Ovis aries: one gene and its partner. The protein of the gene in region 2 interacts with the protein of the main gene of each other region in a pairwise test. Links are inferred from orthologs where the notes say so. Each region holds a gene or a part of one and is shown on either strand. Other genes may lie near its edges.

The links. The genes of interacting proteins can lie anywhere in the genome.
Region 1: the proteins of NDEL1 (region 2) and CEP170 interact in a two-hybrid assay, tested with the Homo sapiens proteins (2 studies listed by BioGRID and IntAct). The link is inferred for Ovis aries from reciprocal best matches to the Homo sapiens genes NDEL1 and CEP170.

The regions. Positions count from the first base shown.
Region 1 is NC_056065.1:33,253,033-33,256,551, reverse strand, and holds part of CEP170 (centrosomal protein of 170 kDa), read right to left. Parts: intron 2,333-3,519; coding exon 497-2,332; intron 1-496.
Region 2 is NC_056064.1:27,824,373-27,828,684, reverse strand, and holds the start of NDEL1 (nuclear distribution protein nudE-like 1), read right to left. Parts: upstream 2,817-4,312; 5' UTR 1-2,816. UniProt on the Homo sapiens protein: Required for organization of the cellular microtubule array and microtubule anchoring at the centrosome. May regulate microtubule organization at least in part by targeting the microtubule severing protein KATNA1 to the centrosome.

The sequences.
Region 1 (3,519 bases), on a different chromosome or scaffold from region 2:
CACACAAAACAAAATATCTCACCAAGTAGACAATTAAAATTCTCAAATTGGTTCAATATACTTCAAATTTTGAATTCACTATTTTGTACCAGGACTTTAAATGGAAGTGTATATAACTTCTGAATTTTCCTCCTGGTGGCCCAGAAGGTAAAAAATCTACCTGTATTGCAGGAGACCCGAGTTTGATCCCTGGGTCAGGAAATCCCCTGGAGAAGGGAACGGCAACCCACTCCAGTATTCTTGCCTGGAGAATTCTATGGATAGAGGAGCCTGGTGGGCTACAGTCCATGGGATCGCAGAGAGTTGGACACAACTGAGCAACTGACACTTTCACTTCACTTTCAAGCTAACTAAGGTGACTTTTTAAGGAACAAAACCCTCTACAGTATGATCTTTCTGCTGAAAATTTTGGGAATCGACACTAACAATTTTTCAAAGAAGAAGTCCCAAAACATAAAAGAAATACACTAATATAAAAAGTCTGGATCCAATTTACCTGAAGGAGAGCCATGTGCTGAGGTCATACTTTTGACCTTGGAGTCGGATAGTCGAGAGATACTGTTAGCTCTAATTCTAGGAGAAAATTTATCTGAAGGTACTAATCTGGCTCCACTTCTAATGATGGCTTCTGCGGTCCGTGAAGAGGCACTACTTCTAGAGATCGTTGCTTCAGAGTCACTGCGAGCCGATAATGAGCCAAGCCTTGTTCTACGAGGCTGAGCCAACAAATCAATCCTAGAAATGTTACGCCTTCCTGTGGGAGGTTTGGATGTCGAACTTGTTGTGGACACTTCAGAAGCAACAGATGCTTTGTCAGCATCAGCAAGTTCACTGTCCGAAGCTTCACCGAGTCGGGCTCTGCGCAAGAGGGAAGTCCTGGTAGGTCGTGGCCTTGGTAGAGTGGTGGATTTACTGGACGAACCAGGTGCTCCAGGAGAAGTCTTGGATTTAGTTACTTTACTTCCTTCTAGTTTGGAATGTGCGTGCTCATCAGTTGAGGTAAGTGGAGTCCTTCCATGAGATTTACAAGAGTAAGTTTCCTGGTCAGATGACATAACATCAGAGATGGCCGAGTGAGGTACACTAGAGGTTTGGTCATCATCTGTTAAATCTACTGAAGGCTGCCTTATTCTTCCACTGGACTGCACAAATTTACGACCCTCTGCCCGAGAACCTATATCTGCAGAACGACTTTTTGTTTTTTTTTCAATTTTCTCCCTAGCACCCGACGATGACGACTTTGTAACATCTTTGGAAGGAGAACCTGTGGAACACCTATCTTTATAGAGACTAGTGAAACTCTTTCGCTTTTGGGTTGACTTTCTTTCAGTCTCTCCAGTAACCAGACTGATGGTACTAGCTGTGTCCACATCAGATTCGGGTGAAATGGAGTTGTCTCTGTTATAACTGGGAGTATCTGGGCCTTCATCAGTTTTAGTATCTTCACGCAGTTTAGCTTCTAGAAAAGCCATTACTGCTTCTGTGTCTTTTAGAATAAGGGTCGTGTCCATACTAGAATCAGTATCCATAGAATCACTTCTTTCTCTTATTCTGCTGGCTGTTGTTAATGCTAAGGAAGGGGGTGTTGATAAAGGCTGTTTATTTATATGGGGGATAAGTTCTATGGGTATGTTGGGGCTAGGTTTTTCTATAGTGAAGCTTCCTTGTCGCACTAACGACTTGGAGGATTCCTTCTTGTCTCCTCCCTTTGAGGTCTGACTTTTCAGAATTTCCTCAGCTTTTCTTCTCTTACCCTCATTTTGTATTGCTCTTTCTCCTTTGCCTGCAGAAAGTCCTGGAATTTTTTCTTGAGGCTGTGACTCCTGCTTAAAAGACTCCTCCCTACATCTATCTATCTGACCCGCAATGGTTTTTGAAGAAGATAATTTAGTAGGTGTCCACTGTGCCTGTTCCTTTTGTTCTTGTTGCTGGATTTTAGCTAATGTTTGCTTTACCAAAGAAGCTTCCTTATCAGTTTCACTTTTCTCCTTCCCAGAGTAAGAGCTGCCTAAGTGAAGCAGGGCTTTACTATCTCCACCATTTTTAAGAGTCTCACCATTTACTGCCCTGTTCATTTTACTCAAGGCTCTGTCAGTGTCTTGTTTATCTTTCTGGTATACCTGGGCAGGTGCTTCTTTCTCCTGAAGCTCCGTGTCTTGCTTTTCTCCTATCTCTGACCTCTGTGCTATAACCTTTGTTCTGGAGCTCTCAAGAGACTTTTCTTCACTTGGAAGCTGGGGAAGGGTTCGTCTCCTTCTCTCTCCCTGACTAGCCAAGGAAGCTGCTGAGCCAGTACTTCTCAGTGAAATGCCAGATTCACTGATGTCTGTATCTATAAAAGAAAACAACAAAAAAGGAACTTACTGGGGCAAAAATGTGAAAATAAAACAAATGTCATATTACCTTAGATTTTGAAGTTAAGAAATGGCTTAAGTATAAAGTAAAACTTTGAAGAAATAAGCCAACATTTTGACAGTATAATTGAAAAAGAAAATGCAACACTGAGATGCACAAATAGGAGAGCAAATTTTATGAGATGAAAATTAGGGTCATCTTATCTTAAACCTACATCTGTTGCTCTCTTTTTCTTTTAATGTCATTAATGGAAGAGAAGTTCACATTCTTGCTTTTGTGACTTGTCCCATCTGTGAATTTCACTCACAAAAAATGGACTCTGCATAGTATATACAGAAGTGTAAAAATAATGTCTAATAAACAGTTTATATGCTATACTTTGAATTACATAGTAAAGAATAATAATATACCTAAATTTTAACAAGCATATTATCTACTGAAACAATGACAAGTCTGGATTTCCTAATAAAACAGAAAACGTAGAACTTTAACAATGTTTTCTCTTTATTTAATTTTTTTTAAACAATGTTTTCTAAAAGAAAAAATTCAAAGTTAATTAAAAGATTTTTAATAATTGTAAGAAAGGAAAAAGGTGACAGGACTTGTCATAATTTCACAAACTGAGTTATTTTTAAATTATGATCTTCTGGTATATTAAAGCCTCAAACTGAGAAGTTGATGGGAAAATATAAAACTTCAACGTTTCCATGTGAGAGACTTTGAGAATATTACTTAAGGAGTACTTTCCTGTTTATAAATGAAATGTATTTCTGAGAAAAGGGATCTTTTTAGGGAAATATAAATTGACATATAAAGCATTTAAACCTTTTGGGTATAAGTGGAAAAAAGATACTAGATATAGCTTCTGTGGTCATCCCTTTATAATTCTAAAATTTTAGCATCTAAATTTCATAGCTATACTACGGCTATAATGTAGAAAAATACTTAATGACTTACTAATGTAACTTTAATTTAGCAAATGATCGTGTTATTTGGTTATGTCTTATCTCCACAGTACTACTTGAAGCACTAAACTTATTTAGTTATAGCTATTTTATCTTTTTGTACTTTTCTAGCATTTCTCACACTGTCCTGGCTCGTAACACACACTCAATGAATATTTGACAAGAACATTTTAAGTAGATTTATCAGCTTATCTAAGTA
Region 2 (4,312 bases):
GAGGCAAGGAATTGCTATTCTTCAATGTAATCTTTGTAATTGCCTTAATAAAAGTGGATATGAAATTTAAAACAAATGGTATGACATTTATTAGAGGAATCTGGACAAATGAATTAAAACTGTGAATATATGTATAACCTTTTACCCAGCACTCAACTTATTAAGGATTTATCCTAAGGAAATTATAGAAGTAATATGCAAAGACGTATGTTCAGTGATGTTTACTGCAGCATTGTTTTATCATTATGCCCAAAACTGGAAACAACCTAAACACCCAGGAGACTCATTTAATAAATCATAGTATAATCCAAGCACTGGAATACTACACAGCTGTTAGGAAGGACAAGGAAGATTTTATAAATTAACATGAGATGATACTCAAGTGATACTAAGTGAAAAAAAGAGGGCTTCTCTGGTGGCTCAGTGGTAAAGAATCTGCCTGCCAGTGTAGGAGACGCAGGTTGAATCCCTGATCCGGAAAGATCTCACATGCTGCAGAGCAACTAAGTCTGCCCGCAACAAATATTGAGCCTAAGCTCTAGAGCCGGGTAACCACTAACTATTGAACCCGCGCACCACAACTGCTGAAGCCCATATGCCCTACAGCCCATGCTCTGCAACAAGAGAAGCCACTGCAATGAGAATCCCAAGCACCACAAAGAAGAGTAGCCCCCACTTCCCGAAACTAAAGAAAAGCCCACAGGCAGCAAAGACCCAGCACAGCCAATAAATAAACAAGTTTAAAAATGGTTAGAGAACAGTAAATACAGTTTGACACAAGAAATATTGTTTTAGAAGTCTAGTTAATTTCCAAAATATATAAAGAACTACTACAACTACCACTACTACAACTCAATAACAAAAATACCAAACAACTCGATTTAAAAATGGGCCAAGAACTTGAACAGGTATTTCTCCAGAGAAGTATACAGATGGCTAACAAGTACATGAAAAGGAGCTCTACATCACTAATCATCAGGGAAACACAAATCAAAACTACAACGAGATACCACACCCCCTGGGAGGAAGAAAAAAACCACCACCAGAAAATAAGTGTTGGTAAGGATGTAGAGAGATTGGAACCCTTGTACATTGCTGGTAGGAATCCAAAATGGTACAGCCACTATGGAAAACATTCTGAAAGTTCCTCAAAAAAGTAAACACAGAATTACCATATGATTCAGCAAATCCATTTGTGAATACGAAAAAGAATTAAAAGCAAGGACTCAAGTAGCCATCTGCACACTCGTATTCACAGCAGCATTATTTACAATAACCAAAAGGTGGAAGCAATCCTGTCCATCAGCAGATGATATAAACAAAATGTGGTGTCTATAGACAATGCAATATTTTTCAGCTCAGAGGGTAAAGTGTCTGCTTGCAGTGTGGGAGACCCGGGTTCAATCCCTGCGTCAGGAAGATGCCCTGGAGAAGGAAATGGCAACCCACTCCAGTACTCTTGCCTGGAAAATTCCATGGACAGAGGAGCCTGATAGGATATAGTAGGATATAGTCCATGGGGTCGCAAAGAGTCAGACACGACTGAGCGACTTCACTTTCACTTTAAAAAAGGAAGGCAATTTTGACACCTGCTACAACATGCATGAACCTTGAAGACATTACACTATGTGAAATAAGCCAGCCATCAGAGGACAAATACTGTATGGTTCCATTCAAGAGAGAGTAGAGTGGTAGTTGCCAGAGACGGGTGGGGAAGACTAGGGAGATACTGTTTAATGGGTACACAGTTTCACTTGGAGAAGAAAAAAAATCTGGAGATGGATCTTGGTGATGGGTGCATGTCAATGGGAATGTACTTAATGCCACTAAGCTGTATGCTTAAAAACTAATTTTTATTTCATGTATATTTTGTTGTTCTTGTTCAGTCACTCAGTTGTGTCCAACTCTTTGTGACCCCATGGACTGCAGCACACCAGACTTCCTGTCCCTTACCATCTCCCAGAGTTTGCCCATGTTCGTATCCGTTGAATCAGTATATTTTATCAAATTTTTTAAAAATTCAATTTTTTAAGTAGAACTTTATATACCAGTGTCACTAATAATCTCTGGGGCTGGAATTATGTAAAAATTTTCCCTTTCTCTTTGTTTATATTTTCACCAGTTACCACAATCAGGAAAAAAAGGTATCTAGTTCCATTTAGAAAATGAAAGTAACCTCACACCCTGAGAATGCCGTCTTACAGTTTACAAAACACTTTCACAATCATCATCCTGCTTAAGCATCACCAACATCCCAAAAAACAGAGACATTTTTGAACTGTGTAGACCAGAAAGGTTCAGAAGACAGTGAATTGCCCGTCAGTAAGACAAGGAGCCAGGACTTAATCACAAGCCCCAACTCGGTCAGCTCAGCAAACTTTCAAGCATCACACCAGCTGTGTCGAAGTCAATCCCAGAGAAGCCATCTCCCAGAGATGAAGCTCGCTCTACAGCCTAGAAAAATGTTACCTGGGCAGCTCACGTAACACACAACCAAATCAAGGTGATGAGATTTTAGGGGGGTAGAGGTCAAATGATCTGGTTTCAGGAAGCCACCCCTGGTACCATCCCTCACAGGGACATAACCAACTTCACAAACTGACCCCAGCCTCTGACAGTCCCCCACAATGGACAGAAAGGGTCTACCAGGAGCCCCCCACTCTGGCCCTGATCTGGCCCAGACCTTATCCAAGCTGACCCCCCAGTCCCCACCATCCCAACATACCTGGTCCTGTGTCCCAGGCCTCGCAGATCAGATCAACAGCAGCACAAAGTGGCTGGAGCTGAAGCAGCTGAAACAAAGTGGAAATCAACAGGAAGTGTGAGAATCACCTTGTGACAAAAGAGGCACGAAGACCGGAAGTGGGTTTGGGCCAGGAAGGCTGCGGCCGGCCTTCTAGAAGTGAAGCAACCTTGCAGCCCCACTGCTCAGCTGCTATTGAGCAAGACTTCAGGGTTGAGGAAGGAGAAAAAGAAACTCAATCCCTAACTCTTTAGCCAGAACTTCAAGCTTCCCCTTTGTCTGTCTCCAGCCCTGTATTAGAGGGGAAAAGCAAGGAGGAGAGCTTTCCCACATTAAGGGTAGGAGATGCAGGATCCCTGTTGATTCAGTGGTAAGAATCCACCTGCCAACCTAGGTTCGATCCCTGGTCTGCAAACCAAGATCCCACATGCCCCAGAGCAACTAAGCCCATGCTCCACAACTACTGAGCTGAAGCACTAGCGCCCTAGAGCCCTTGCTCCATAACAAGAGAAGCCACTGCAAAGAGAAGCGCATGGACCACAAGAGAGTAACCCCCTGCTCACAGCTAGAGAAAGCCCATGTGCCACAACAAAGACCTAGTGTAGCCAAAAATAATAAATAAAAGGTAGGGCTTCCCCAGTGGCTCACTCAGTAAAGAATCCACCTGCAGTGCAGAAGACACAGGAGACTCAGGTTCAATCCCTGAGTTGGGACAATCCCTTGGAGGAGGGTATGGCAACCCATATATTCTTGCCTGGAAAATTCCATGAACAGAGGAGCATGGTGGGGTACAGTCCATGGGATCGCAAAAGAGTCAGACACGTCTGTGAAACTGAGCACACAGGAGATGCCCAGAACCTGGCAAAGCACACCTGTGGCTTCAGAGAAAAAATGGGAAGTCAGAGGGAAGTAGCCTCCGCCTACCACTTTTGGTGGCAAGACCTTGAATGAGTTGCTGTGTGTCTCTGTGTCTCATCTTTGCAAAATGAAATGGAGGTGACACCAGTACTGACCTCATGGCATTGTTTGGGCTTAAATGAGATAATGTGTGTAATTGGCTTCACATACATCCCATTATTCCCTTCAGTGGTTGGTGGCATCCCCCCTCCTTTCTGCCTCTCCAAATCTGACCCACTCCTTAAGTCTTTGGCAGGTCATGCCACCCTGGTCTGGAGTCACTTCTCGCCTCCACAGTGGCTGCAGGTCAAATGTGTCACTGGGTCCCACCATGTCGGAGAAGCACCACGGTTAAGAACTACGACTGAGGCCCTTCACCGATAATTCCTTCCCATGGAGCTGTCTATCTCCCCAAGGTCACCCAGGGAGGGTAAGGGCTGCATGGATTTGTCTCTGTTTTCCCAGGAGCATCTACCAGAGCACTGGAAGTTAGTCCATAAATGTTCATGGACTTTTAAGATGCTATGAAGGTTTCAGACTGACCTCAGGGCAGCTCAGGATCATGTTGTCTCCAGCCTGGGGCTGCTGCTGCTGCTGCTAAGTCACTTCAGTCGTGTCCGACTCTGTGCAACCCCATAGACGGCAGCCCACCAGGCTCCCCCGTCCCTGGGA